Drosophila melanogaster: one gene and its partners. The protein of the gene in region 3 interacts with the protein of the main gene of each other region in a pairwise test. Each region holds a gene or a part of one and is shown on either strand. Other genes may lie near its edges. The genes, in order: CG6337, CG9514, CG11269 and CG11404.

Region 1 (3,976 bases), 8.3 Mb from region 3:
ACGTTTCCAAACAAGTTACTGAAACTTAAAAAATTTACGAGAACTAAGATTAAGAAATCTACAGAAAGAACACACACCAAAAAAAAGAAGCTTTTGTCTGCGCTGGCTGAGTCGAATATTCTATAACCATAAATATAATACCTAAATATTATATATATCTATATAATTTCCTTTCGTTTTTATATCACAGCAACACGGATAGCAACAAAATGGGAAACTTATTTATTATGCAAGAGAAACATAACAGAAAAAGAAAACACTGCAAAGATAATAGTATAAAATCCATAAGCAGATCAAAGATGCGAAAAACAAGAAAAGAAAAGAAAATAAAGTGAACTTGTTAATTTTTAGCATTTAAGTCTGTAAAGCTCCGCTTGTAGATGAAAAATCAATAAATAAACTAAATAAAATGGTAAATTCAATAAATGGAGACAAAAAAGCTGTAAGCTTTCACAACAAAAAACCAAACGATACTTTTTGGTAGAAGACGGGGGATTTTTTTTCAAGATTACTCTTTATGTAATATTCAAGATCTCGATGAATTATCTTAGCTTTATTTGAGATATTCCCAAATCTATTTCTTGGATGGTTCTATTACTATTCTTCTATTCTATGAACTATCATAGATATAGATAGGCACACTCTTAAGGTATCATCATAGTGTTATTATAGATATTCCCGAATCTGTTACTCGAATTCTAGTTGATTTAAAGATAATGCGTCTATAATAATAATAATAGTATTGCTTACTAGCATTAAGTTTTTTTAAAGAACTTACAGCATCTACTGAATCCGAAACAAAATCATCATATAAAAATTTACACATAAAACTTAAGTTTATTAACTTGAAATAAGGTCAAATCGGAATCCTTCTTAGGCAAGCGCACTGGGAAAGACGGCATTCTTGGCAATGGGCTGATTGGACCTGCGCACGATCCTGATGTAACCCTCCTCGCCCCACGTGTCGCCGAAGGAGTTCAGGCAGCGCCAGTAGTCCAGATTGGAGTCCACGTCGTGATCGTAGCCCACGACCACCAGGAACTGTGAGCTCTTTGGATTGGTCAGGGCACGCGTCTCCTGGACATAGACGCCACTGGAGTACTGCATGAATCCAAAGGTAGCCGGATTGTACTCGACTATGACGGGGAATCCATTCGATACGTAACGCATTACGGCGGCATCATCGTTGTCGGCCACCGTGGAATAGCCGGCCAACTTCACGCCCACTGACACAGAGGATGGGGGCTGGCACATACCCGGCGTTTTCAGGCTATTGTTATTCGGATAGTCCACCTCCGGATAGAGATACGCATCTGTCAGCTGGGTGAGATAGTTGAGGGCAGCCAGGGGCGTCTGGGTGCTGCATCCGGTGCCCATGCCCGCACAGTCCAGCAGCTGCTGGGCGGACAAGGACGAGGGCAGAGGATTGGCTGTCTGCACGGCATTCATGATCTCCACGGCCTTGGCGGTGGCATAGGCCCAACTACTGCTGCAGTTCACGCCCTGATCCTCCACCGCCACGGTGAGTCCGAAATCCGTGATAATGTCAAAGCTGGCAGATGCCGCTTGACTGGCCGGTGGATCACTGGCCGCCGAGGTCACCGTATTCACGGCTTTGGGCAGCAGGGCTGCGAACTGGATGAGCCGGATGTCCGAGAACTGATTCACTGCCTCGCGGTAGGTGGTGCGATTCCTATCGGCCTGGGCATTGTGCTGCGCCACCTGGTTGCGGTTGTAGATGAAGTAGTAGTTGGCGAAGTTGCGAGCCGAAGTTGAGGCATAGGTCTTGTTGAAATTGTCCTGTAAATGGAAAGATTTGAATTCCATTACTCAATACAATCCTTTTCAATGCCATAAGATACAAGATATAATTTCTAATTAAATCCCATCCAGACTTTGTTTTCTTGATGACTCACATACCTCGTAAGTTTGAAAGTCCACTAGATCCTGGCCATGATTAAAGGCCCATCCACTGTCGATGGTTAGTAGAAGGCAGCAAAGTAGCAACTTGAACATGACGAAAACCCAAATCCGCACCAACTAATGCCGCCAGAACCATGGAACGATCTTTTATAGGCACCGGCAAACTCTCCTTCTGATTGCAAACGCAAATAGAAGTTTACCAAAGCGACTTACTTTCGCAAGAAAAGTGCAAATACTCGTAGATTTCTACGAGGCCTTGAATTCGCACTTGGCCAGCAGCACTCAAACGTACTATCCGTAGTATTCATATTCCGGGTTGGGTCTCCTCGATAAGCCGACGTTGGTAGGAAAAGTCGGGGTGCGCTTTGTTTGCCCAATAAACTTGTCAAATGCCCCGTTTCGTATCGTTGCGATTCGGCGGTGGGTTCTCGTATCTCTGTTAATTCGAAATCCCCACTGGCCCAGTTCAGAAAAAAACACCCAAGCCCATATGCCCATGGAGCATCGTAAACGCCCCTCTAATGCCAACTTATCGTTTAGTCTTCAGGTTTTGTCTTCAGCGCAGGCATGATTAATCACAGTCATACTTTGTGGCGCCCATAAAAGTTGCAACAGCGTTGATAGATAGATACGTAGATGGAAAGATACATAGACAGATAGATAGATAGGCCCGTTGGAAGACTTGGCCAAATTGCTGTAAACCAAGTGCTAAGTGAGTTGTTTGGTAATTTCCATTGCGGTAGTCTAGCATATACTACAGGTAGTATATATTCGAAGTAGTAATGAGGGATCATCTTGAAATTTTGCAAATATGTAGGTAAGTCCATAAGGGATTTCAGCAGTCAATGAACTTTTTAGTAGACGCAACAACAAATTCAGATTCCACGAATCTGTTAATTGAAATGCAAATAAATTGGCCACTAATCAATCTCTTCATGGTTCAATTTCAATTTATAGTTATTGAAAGTCGAGACCATTATTCATCCGTCTGCATCTTTATCATTCTGTAATTGTATTATTTACATAAAAATCAAAGTGTTATTTATTTACAAGGGATATAATAGTACAAACTACTTAGAGACGCTTTAAAAACTTTCCTAAAACTTTGCTTGCTGCATTGAAATTTGTAATCCTATAGGCGCTACAACTGTGACTTCGATCTCATCAATTATTAACTATTTAAAAACATGTTTGACTATTTTCTCTTTTGTTTCAAATGAGTTAATATGCGTTGTTATAGCCACCAACACATTAGGCAATCGACAATTACTAAGCATGCATATAATGGAGACAGCTATAGACCCATAAACCAGATAGCCCGTCGAAATGAAGATGAATATGCTCTTGTCGGTATTCCAAAAGTTTCAAATTGGTGGCCCATCCAGTTTTGGCCATATGTCCCACGGTCCAGCTCCAGACTCTATAAAACCAAGGTGTGCGGGTCGAGCGCCGCTTATAATCTCGCCGGTCTTCGAGTCTTCAGCATCTTCGAATAGTTTTGTGATTTGTGAACGCGGAAGGTGTTTTGAACATATCATTCCCAGATATCCATAAAAGGTGATTAAGTCGATCTTTTCAACATATTGTGTCGTGTGTGTTGTTATTTTTCGATTCATAATGGTCCGTCGAAGACAAGAGAACTGCAATTGCTTACATTCGACTCGAAATTTGATTTTAAACAGGGGAATCCATCGCCTTTCACCGGGCACAGCATGTGATCAGTATTTTATGGCAACGAAAGTGAAATCTTAGCCTGCGGTTGCCTAATCTAGATTTGATTTTGATTTATTTGGGCCCTCGATGGAGCCAATTTGGGAGCTGAGGAAATAAAAGGAGAGACGAAGCCGCGAAATCATTCATACATTTCGAAATTCATCCGAATCGAATGCTTGCACTAATGTAATTATGCTAAGCATATGCAAATTAGCTCATTCACCCAGTAATTATTCACGTCTCATCGGTGATCGAATTCGTAAAACAGACCGGAAATACGAACAGCGAATGCTCTGCTAGTTTCAAAAGTCTATTTAATTTGGTAAGATCGAATAAAGTT
Region 2 (4,765 bases), on a different chromosome or scaffold from region 3:
AGCATAAATGTGATATATTAGAGTTTATTTCACGTGGGTAGATTAGCATAATAATCGTATACTGCAATGTGTACTTATTTCGCGGTGTGCTTACATTGTTTACTGTGTTTTGCACCCTATGATTTAATTCGCATGCACTTAACCGCATATTGCATTCAATTATGCCAAAATATAATGGAATAGGAATGGGAATGTAAAAAAGAAAAGGAATTGTATGAAAACGAAAGACAATGAAAGGGAATGGGAATACTAATGGAATTGAATGGAATTCTGAAAGTGAAACTTTAAGCCAAAAAGAGCGAAGAAGACTCATAAAGAAAACCGAACGCAAATCGCCGCTAGGCCTATAGACCCAACCCAAAACACCCAGCCTTCTGTCACATTAAACAGTTAAATGGATTACGGTATTGGTAACACGCTCGAACAAAATTCCAAGAAAAAAAAACAAAAAAAAAAAAAAAAATGCCAAAGCTCATGAATAATTAAGCAGTGAAGTTCGATTTGTTAATTTGAGAGCCGGTGGCCACAGGGTGCCGTTGATCATCGGCATCAGCTGTTATTAATGAAATGCCGTGAGATAGAAAACGATCTGAATGAAATCAGTGGGGCCCACCCCAAAAACAAAAAATAAATAAAATAAAATAAAATCTAAAAAAGTAGAAGCCTCGGGTCCAAAAGGCCTGCCTAACGGTAGCCCGTTCTAATTCGAATCAGTCTCTCAGAAGCACTGATCATTTTCCATTTATTGTTAAGCCGAAATTTCTGGTTAATGGATGCTCAAGCGGCCATATAAAGCCGCACTTAATTGCTATTTGAAAGCGAGACACAGCCAGAAAAACAAAAAAATTGGAAGATTATCCATCGAGATGATACTGGTAAATGGTAATGGTCTACGTTTGTCTTTATCTAATTGGAACATTCTGGATGGTGGGGGGATGAGCCGGGAAATGAAAGTGGGCCGGAGAAAAGTGAAAGATCGAAGAAATGGGATCACTGGAGAGCAGAAGCCACAAATCAAGAGAAATGCAATGAAAACTGTCGTAAAGTAATTGCTGTGTTAATGGTGCTATGAGAAGGAAATGTCTTTCAATATGCTGAAAAATGAATGACCTATTAAAACTTGAGCTTAAACAATACGATCTAATGCATAACTTTCAATTTAATATTATTTATTAATAATTTTAATAGCGCTCTTAAGGAGCCACCAAATATTTCCCAATGGTTTTCCCCAAAAACTAAATCCAACATGTTGACTTTCCTGTTAATTTGATGTAAGTAAATCTTATAAGTCAGTGCATTTTTCCTTTCTTTTCCACGAATGCTGAAATCGTTTCACTGTTTGCGTGTGAAGACAGCTTGCAAATAGTCTGAAATTTGGCAGGCGGTTGCTAACTAAACGAATCCGGCCTTTGGCACCATCATATCATCATCATCATGATCATCGTCTTGGGTCGTCTGAACCCGCAACCCATTCAAGTTGAGCTGTCTATTTGGTCTATTCCGAATACTAATGACTACAACTCATCGATGCGGATTAGCATATGGACAGAATTCGTTGCCAACTTTGGAAAAATGGCAACGTCATCGGGATGAGCTGGCCAAAAAAAAAAAAAGGGCGAAAGCAAAGGGCACGCCCGGCCACTGCTAAGGCCAACTATTTGACCCAGTAAAATTGTAGAAAAATATTTCACATTTTACCAGGCGAAATAAGGAAGTAAACATTTATATATATATTTAAAAGAATTAAGTGTAGGTAGAATTAAAAATATGCTGAGGTTAGAAGGTACACGATTTATATACAATTGAAAGAAGAACAATAATCACAACTCAATTTGAGTAACAACTTCTTTTCAATACAATTGTATTTGATTTTTAGACATGTATAGTTTTTGAAAATGTACAATCTTGAATTTTCTCAACACATTGACTCACCGATACTTCCAATCCATTTTGCTTTTATGCAAATATAACGACAACAGCGGCACATCGGAGATTTCCGTCTCATGTCCACCGGCCTCCAGGAGCAGGATCTTCCAGTGCGGTATCTCCGATAGTCTGGAGGCCAGAACAGTACCCGCCGAACCGCCACCGATGATGATGAAATCATAGGCCAAATCCACTTGCTGCACGTTGAATGGTCGATTCTCCGGATCGAAGAGATCGTAATTATAGTAGGCTATAGCCGCTATCAGAAAGGGCAATATGGTCAGTTTACCAACGCCAATAACAGCGGTGGCCAGTTTGATAGCACCGGCGATGGCCAGGCCCAATTTGGAGGCTCCTGCCGCTGCTACGCCCGCTGCCGCCGCCGCCTTAGATGCGGCACTCGCCTTGAAGAGCAGACCGCCCACGGAAACGGCGGCGGCGCCTAGAGCTGGAACTACAACCATGATTTTAGGAGGGGGATCTGTTTACTGGGACAATTTTTTTCAGGGAAGGATTGCCCTTCCTTGCTTTCTTGAATTTCTTTGGGCGTTTCCTAAGGTTTAGTTTCGCTCTATTGCTGTGACTGCATTGCGATGAGTAGTTATTCGTGCCACTTTTGTTGAATTTTTGCATTCACTATCAAAGCACACTGGGAAAAAAAACATCACAATACGGTTATTTCAAGTTTCTCAACATGTATATTGAAAAATGAAGCGTTTAAATGGAGAAGTTCTAGCTTAAAAACAACATGGTGATTGCGATGCTTTACAGATGAAAAAGCTGTTAATAATATTTTAAGCTTGTAGGGTGAAGAATGGGTTATTATTCGTTTACTGCTTTTCATGGACTATTATTGTGATATTTTCTCTCTGTGCCATCGTCACGTTCGCATTCAAAGTCACTTGCCTTTCTGCACTTTCATTTAGGCCTCGTAAACACATTGAGTAAACAGAAACAAAAATAAATAAATTGTAATTGAAATTAGTTAGCTAGGCCGCGCGCGCTCTGATTTTGGTATCGGTTATGGGTAATCGTACAATAATGGATAATGGATAATCGGTTAACCGGTTCACTGGATAATTCGCCTCGCCAGCCCGTTTTCGTGTGTGCCTCGGTTGGCAGTCGCTGCGTTTCTGAGCCACAAAAGCTGGCCTGCGACGTTTTGTCTCCGCTGCTGCAGCGCCGGCAGAGGCGGTAGCCGTGGCAGAGGACGCCGGCGTCGCTGCCAGCAAATCGGTTGCGCATGCGCACGTTTTTCTCCAGCAAATCCAACTGCATTTTCCGCGGCAGCTGACTTTTAAAAACAGTTTTTGATCACAAACATTGGCACATACGTTTAATTGGATTTAATTTGCTTGTTTTTGCATCCGTATATATAATTTTTTATTATAAGACTGCATTTGTTTTTATTAAATCCTATGAAAATCAAACTGTTCTACATGGCTTTTTAAGAACAATATATAATAATATATCAAAATCTTTAAAAAACGAACCGTTTCGTTTGCCTTCATTTTGCAATATGAAACGATTACCGATTCGCAAGCCTCTCTTTCGCACTCTCCCACACGCACGAGCACATCAATACTCACATGTACAGTCACATGCATATGTATATGCCATGCGGTTGCGGTTGATGGCTGATGCTGTGCATTGCGAAACGGTTACAATTAACCGCTTGCAGCTCCTGCCTCTCACTCACAAACACTTGCGTAGATATATCTGACATTTGCGGTTTTTTCCTTCAGCACCGCCTCTTTCTTTTTTCTTCTTCGATTTCGAATTTCCTTGCAGACGCCAGACGACCTTCATGCTCACTTTACGGTTATGTGCACTTCTCTCCGCGAACGATGGGCTCGATTTTGAGTCGAAATTCGGGTTTCAACTTCGAGTTACTCAGGCAGTTGGGTAGTTGGGATTGCGCACGTAAGCCTTTTAAGTAAAGACAACAACAAGATGAACAGTCGAACATCGATAGCTGAAAATGTGTAAAGTCTAAGGCTTACCATATGTTTTTACCCGATACTAACCGATTCCGCTTCGCATATGCTTTTTTAGCAAGGTACTAAGCCACAACCGATTCATTTAAATGATTTCTGAATTTCCAAAAACTTTAGTACATTATTCAGTAATTTGTATGTAACTCTAGATATTTTTCGAATCATTTAATATTTGACGTACCCCTAACATGTTCATTAATAACTTCATTTGGACAATCTTCACTGTACTTACAACACGTTATCGGCTTTGAGTTTGACTTGAAAAGACAGCTGGCAGAAGAACCACAATCAATTGACCAGTTTTTGGCATTGAAGAAGCCGAAGAGTTGAATACAAAAGTGAAGATCAAAGTGAAATTTGTGGCATTTAGTTGTTGGTTGATTGTTTTCATTGTTTAACCGGTTTTTTTTATTTTTATTTCGATCAGTGTGTATTTGCCAATTGACAAACCACAACACGATTTTTGCCAAGTAATTGTCATTACATTACTTTACACACCTGATATCGAACGGATATTGAACGCAACTAGTTTGTGGTATTAATCGACATTCAATGGAACCACGAAAATTGCTTCAATTTCTGTCTATGGGGTGATGTTTTTGACGGTGGTCCCGAAAAACACCAAGTTATGTATTTCGTGGGGATATAGATAGTCATATTTTTGCATTCCATACGACTTCCTAGTTGCATTGTGCATTTTTATACAATGTGATATCCGGGAGGGATTAAGGCGAAATGGGGACTAATTTCAAAGAGAAGGCCGCTTTAATATTCCTTTCGAACATATGAATTTAATAATATAAATGCATTTTATACGATAGTTAATAGCAATGTTGTATTAA
Region 3 (2,596 bases):
CAGTTAACCCGAGTTCCCGAAAAAATGAGTAAATGCAGTGAACCAGTTTTCAGCAGACTGCACTTGGTTGGTGGTGATAACAAGCCAGATACACAAGCGTACAACTAGAAAATCGTGTACGATAATTTACACAACGGTTTTCGTGTAAGACACAAAAGCTCGGTCGATAAGAACAAGATACATAACCCCGGTGTAGACTAGACTACGGTATAGAGGTGAAAGGGGGGGGAATAGCCAGAACTGGGAACCCACACCCCATTCCCATTAGCATGTTTCGGAAAGAGAATTTCACGGAAATTTATGATGCCCAAAAGAGAACACACCTCGGTGAAGGTGTCACGTGCGCTGTCAAAAATCGGTTGGTCCGAGACGAATGCATAATGCGGAGTGGACAACAGTCAGCCAGACTTGAAATCGAAAAGTGGCTTGGCGATAAAGAAGTTAAGGCTAATCGCAGAATGCGGTCAACAAACTGGTTCTTTCGATCTTTCGAACCAACAAGTGGGTGGACGTCGCTGAGTGGGTGAAATGCAATTGGAACCATGAAAATAAATTGTTTATTCAATAACCAATCATACAAATCAACGACGGAATCGCAAGTGACCGGGACCCCGCTTGTAGAGTCGCTTCCTTCTCTTGTTATCCCGACGAATGGCCACTATCGCAATGAAGACGAATCCCAGATAGAAAACGGCGGCTACAAAGCACCGTGTGGACACGTCCTGGTAGGCCTCGTCCGCCTGCTCCTTGAAGGCCTCCTGACTGGGGAAGTGGTGGGGCAAGGGCAGGGACTCCAGGAGCATCAGTGACTGGACGTAGAAGAAGATACCCAGCAGATTCAGCATCAAGAAGCCCCAGGCGCTCATGAACAGGCAGAACAGACAGCACTTGCGACCACAAAACATTTTCAAGCTCGATTCAATTCTATGCGAACTTTGTGCGACAGTGTAGTCGAGTGTTGCTCTGACCGCAACAGGTGCCAAGTTTAAGCCGACTTCGAAAGCGAAACCGAATCCGAAATCGAAATCGGAATGTATTGGACCACATACTATTCATCCATCTATCTACATACGCTCGTACACAAGTACAACCTTGTGCGATTTCAGCGGCATTAGATCAGAGTGGTCGGAATATGGAGTTCACGTACCCGTGCCTCTCGCTTTCGGCGGCGTTGCGATTGGGTTTGTTCAACTCGAAATGGCTTAGATTCGGATTTGATCTTAGCCAATGATGGACAACTGACAGATATATCATTTGCACACATACATATGAGTATGATATAGAAGCAGCTCAACTTATTAACACTTGAAAAGCACGTCAAAAAAACGATGTATACAATATACTTCAGAACATCAAGCTTATGCAGAACGAAGACCTGCAATATATTTGATATTTCAAATCAGTGGCTGCATTTAGTTCTGCGTATTTATATATCAGAAGTGATTTTTAGAGAACTGAATGTAGGCCATGCCAACCAAGTAGCTGATTCATTAAAGGGCAGCCTCTGATTTGAATTCCCCTTGTGAATCATGCTCAAGAAATTGCAATAAAAATAGCCAACTAAATAAGTTTAAGCAATAATTAGCACAACTTACCGTGAGTGGTTGATGTTCTCGATAAATCCGCAGAGCAACAAAATTTTTGCCACACTTGCAAAGAAGAAGCAGCAGAAGAATTCACAATAAAGTTTTTACTAGTTTCTTGAAACTCCGTTACAAAACATCAAGTTGTTGTGAAAATTCGTAAGTCGTTTTCGCGGTTGCTAAACCTTTTTTACACTCTGTTGTTTTACTAACGTTTCCTTTATTATGTTTGTTTATGCGAATTGTCGTTAGTTTTATGGGTTACTAGACACGATTAGAGAGAAATCAAAAATTAGGAAAATTAAACAGAATTGATAAAATATTTTTTACTTATTGCACCACGTGTTGCAACTTGAGACATAATAGGTGTCAGCTCTAATTGAGTAAATATGTTTTGCTGGTAACTTAAGCTGCGGATTTCGTACAGCCACAGAAAATGGGGGTCAAGTCCATTAGGTTAAAACCCGATCCCCAAGCGAAAGACCTTGACATTAGGGCGGTTGCTCACTGAACTTGGTAATATCTTAAGTGTCTCGAATTCCCTTTGCGCAAATCAATCAACTTGTCTTATGAGAGCACGAAGAAAAATGAAAATAAGATCACTACATTTTTATTTAAATGATATTTCATAGCTTATTGATATATTTCTAATGAGTATTAACCTAAAGTTTGATCTTATATTTCAAGAGACGGATGTCAAAATATTATTCTTCGCTGATTATTTTCTCAGTGTGGGATTTCAGTTACAGTTATATGGTTGTTATTTGCCTTATTTGCTTAGCACATTCTTCTTTACAATCACACAGACACTTGCTTTGATTTGTGTATTCGTTTTTGTTGTAAGCGCAATTATCAGTACAAACATTTATAATAAAAAAAATTGCAATTTCAACAAAAAAAAGTGTTTAGCTTTCAGTTTAACTTTTAGCTTGAATTTGTTAATGTCTTCACTGAATTTTATTTGTGCTTTATGAAAATATAATGTACACACTGATAAGAGAATAATTCATTTT
Region 4 (3,431 bases), on a different chromosome or scaffold from region 3:
AAAAGGGGAACCTATAAAGGACACACAGGGATCCATATTTTCGACTCCAGGGCGATTGTCCCAGTAGTTCCTTGGGAAAAACGACGGATATCTATGCAAATTCCTCGACCACCAAAAAACACTTTCTTCCCCAAGAATTGGCCAAACCTTTGGCATATACATACAAATCCAGTGAAATGGTGAAATGTCAGTTTCAATGATTTATGCTTCTTGGCCATGGACCATTTGGAATTTTTGGCAGGCCGTTGGCAGTCAGTTTCCTGCCCTGCATCCCATCCCCAATTTAATGGCGCTCTGGTCTGCTGCCTGCCCAATCTCAATCCAATCCGGGGCATGTCCATGCCTTTCTAATTTCTAATCTAATATTTTTGCCTACAAATGCCGGACGACGGTCGGGTGAGGCAAGAGAAATTCTTTGCCTCGGATGCTTGGCCATGTCCAATGCCTGCTCTGGATATGATTTACTTTTGCGGTTTGTTTTTGGTGCGTTTAACCGCAAATATTTAATGGTTTTATTTCCCGATGCTCGACCGGCCCTCAGCTGCGATTCATTTGTACATGTCCTGGTCTGCGGTAGTGTGCTGGTGTGTGCGTGCGGGGTATCTGTGTGTCTGGTGTTTTCTGGCATATTTATTAGTTGAACCACCGACCCAGTGTATTTGTAGATGCGGCAAGGTTAAGCCCCTGACTGATGGTGACCCACTTAAAGGCGGCTGAACCTGTGCTCCGTCGTTTAGTGTCTGATTTTTTAGATCTTAATGGTCTGGGCCATTGCCATTCGTTCCTGAATTTCCTCTGCGGGATGTGGCTGCTGCTCTGGGAGAGCCTCGGACTGGATCCGAGGTTTGGGATCTCCGTCGATCTGCATCTGATACATAACGGTTGCTATAATCAGACTAAAGTGCAGCATGGTCAACAGGAATCCGAAAAGGACAAGAGAAGCGTAGTAGCTCCAGCATAGGTCGCTCCACCACAAGTGCCACACCATCTTCAGGTGGAAAGCAGCCAGACACTGGTGAAGGTAGCAGTTCCACATGAGAACAATCGCCACCAGCAAGGAGATGTGATAGATCTGGTTGTGAATTCGGTACATTAATGTGGTCCCCGAGTTATGTGGTCTTTTACCTGAAAAAATGCGGGGAGAAGCAGTAAGATGTTTACATATAGGTTAAAGTCCCACATGCTTTCCCCGAACTCCACTCCATAATTGGTTTCCGGTTGTAACGGAGCGAACATCTGGCCGATAATAGGAATATTCTGCCAAAGACTTGTCTGGGCTGTAGAAACTAAAAAGACTTCAGTGATTAGGAGATGGTCCTTACAAAGAACTTACCATTTATGATTCGATTGATTTCCATGCTTATGTAACCTACAAGTACGTTGTACACAAGCAAGTTTAGAGCAGGCATAAAAATCATGTTGCGGCTGTAAAAAATATACAATAGTTATATAAGACTTTGAAGGGTAGATCCCTTACTACTTTACTATATTGCTGACTAAAAAATATCGTTTTCTCTAGCTAGAACTTCCAAATATTGTAACTATACCCGTTACTCGCAGAGTAGATGTGTTGATCTCTTTTCACATTTTTATTAGTCTTGTAAATTTATATCGATTTCTATCGCCCATTCTTACACACTTAGACCGCATAAAACTGCCACGCCCAAATTATAGAAAATTTTTTCGATATTTTTTCATAATGTTTTAGTCTTGTAAATTTTTATCGATTTGCTAAAAACGCCGCTAAGCCGGCCACGCCCACACTTTTAAGCAATTTTTAAATTTTTTATCATTTTTTTCCCAATTATCTATCGATATCTCAGAAAAATTATAAAATTTTGCGTTCGCAATCACACTAGCTGATTAACGGGTATCTGATAGTCGGGGAACTCGACTATAGCATTCTCTCTTGTTTTCATATATTTTTCTTCACTTGCAGGTAAGTGGCACCTATCCCCAGAAGGGTGAGTACCGTTTATTCGCCTTATCTCGGCGACTAGGGAGATTTTAAATAAAGAAATTAATATCAGAAAATTCTCCAACAATGAAACTTTGCCATGGAAACGCGGAAAAACTCTCGGAATTGATGCGATAAAAGTTTAATTCCAAGTATGGCTGCCCACCACTCCTCTTCGACAACTTCGTAGGCCTAATGTGCTGACAATCGTTGGATTCCAGACCACTCAGACCTCAGACTCCCCCCTAGTATAATTTAAACTTTAAAATGACCGGGGACGATCCTAGGCAACAACAGAAAAGGCAGAATGCAATCGGGGGGTTGGAAATGTACGACGTAAACTTCTACAAAAGTTGTAAAAAATGAAAAAGTTCGCCAATAAACATTAGAAAAACTTTTGCGCCTCATCTGACCTTACCATTTTGTGATTTGAATCGCTCTACATGCCCACAAAATCAGTAGGCATATTGCGAATCCCTTTCTGCGATGGCACCTGCCTAGCGACAAGTTTATCAAATGTTTTCAAACTCAGCCAAATTAAGCCCAATCCCGAAATATCATCTAAAGTTATCATTATGCTTCTTCTGTCTGTCGCCAGGCAAATGACGAGGGCCACTTAAGGTTTGAGAAGGTCTGGAGCGATTTTGGCCGAGCCGTCATGGTAATAAGACAAACTGGTAAAAAAAACATCAAATATTAATTAAGTTTGCGCCTAATTAGTTTGATTCAGATCCAAAATGCTGCCTTTTCTCCTTTGCCCAGGGTTAGACATCAAAAAGGTGTTGGCTTTGGAACTCAGGCTCAATTTTGGCAAAAACGCCAATGAATTACACTCGCCTGAGATGGTTACAATTGCTCAATTAAAGTCTAATTACAGAGGAACCATGGAGCAAGGCGGACGAATCGGGTCAAAAGTTAAACAATGTGGCAAACAAAATATTTGACAAAACGGGAACGGCCAAAGCCAGAACTGGTGCGAAGGATGTCTAAGTGAGTTAACAAAAGGCAACATTTGTTCAAAAATTCTAACAATACCGAAAAAGCGTCTAGAGAACCCATGGTTTATTTACGTTTATTTGTCGAAATATTTGCGGATGGCAAACTTTTTGCAGCAATTATTTAATTTGTTGCCAATGCGAGGCATAATGTGTTCAATTCTTTTTCGATTTACCCTGTTGTGTCCGCCTTAAAAGCTGAGGAAAATGTTTCAATCCATGCTCAAATATTTAATTTCGTTTATTGAAGTATTTGCTCTTTGGTTTGGGCAACAAACAGTTTCTGAGGTGGTTGACTGTTAGAGGGCATTTTTGGAAACAGCAGCCCCACACACACGTGCCTTGGCATAAGCAACTTCTTCACCAACATTCGTTTTCAACGCAAGTCTTTTCATTCTAGTTTGCCTGTTTGTTTGTTAGCTGGCCCACTTGAAACGAGAATTTTATTAATTAATTTGAAACCGTTTCTATTGACGAGG

What was found.
Region 1: the proteins of CG11269 (region 3) and CG6337 interact in a two-hybrid assay, tested with the Drosophila melanogaster proteins (one large-scale study listed by BioGRID).
Region 2: the proteins of CG11269 (region 3) and CG9514 interact in a two-hybrid assay, tested with the Drosophila melanogaster proteins (one large-scale study listed by BioGRID).
Region 4: the proteins of CG11269 (region 3) and CG11404 interact in a two-hybrid assay, tested with the Drosophila melanogaster proteins (one large-scale study listed by BioGRID).

The regions. Positions count from the first base shown.
Region 1 is NT_033778.4:13,833,047-13,837,022, forward strand, and holds CG6337 (uncharacterized protein), read right to left. Parts: upstream 2,051-3,976; 5' UTR 2,017-2,050; coding exon 1,921-2,016; intron 1,801-1,920; coding exon 874-1,800; 3' UTR 529-873; downstream 1-528.
Region 2 is NC_004354.4:14,893,828-14,898,592, forward strand, and holds the start of CG9514 (uncharacterized protein), read right to left. Parts: upstream 3,065-4,765; 5' UTR 2,833-3,064; intron 2,576-2,832; 5' UTR 2,391-2,575; coding exon 1,933-2,390; intron 1-1,932.
Region 3 is NT_033778.4:22,137,251-22,139,846, reverse strand, and holds CG11269 (uncharacterized protein), read right to left. Parts: upstream 953-2,596; 5' UTR 906-952; coding exon 582-905; 3' UTR 552-581; downstream 1-551.
Region 4 is NT_037436.4:22,546,447-22,549,877, reverse strand, and holds CG11404 (uncharacterized protein), read right to left. Parts: upstream 1,442-3,431; 5' UTR 1,419-1,441; coding exon 1,334-1,418; intron 1,287-1,333; coding exon 1,126-1,286; intron 1,073-1,125; coding exon 749-1,072; 3' UTR 536-748; downstream 1-535.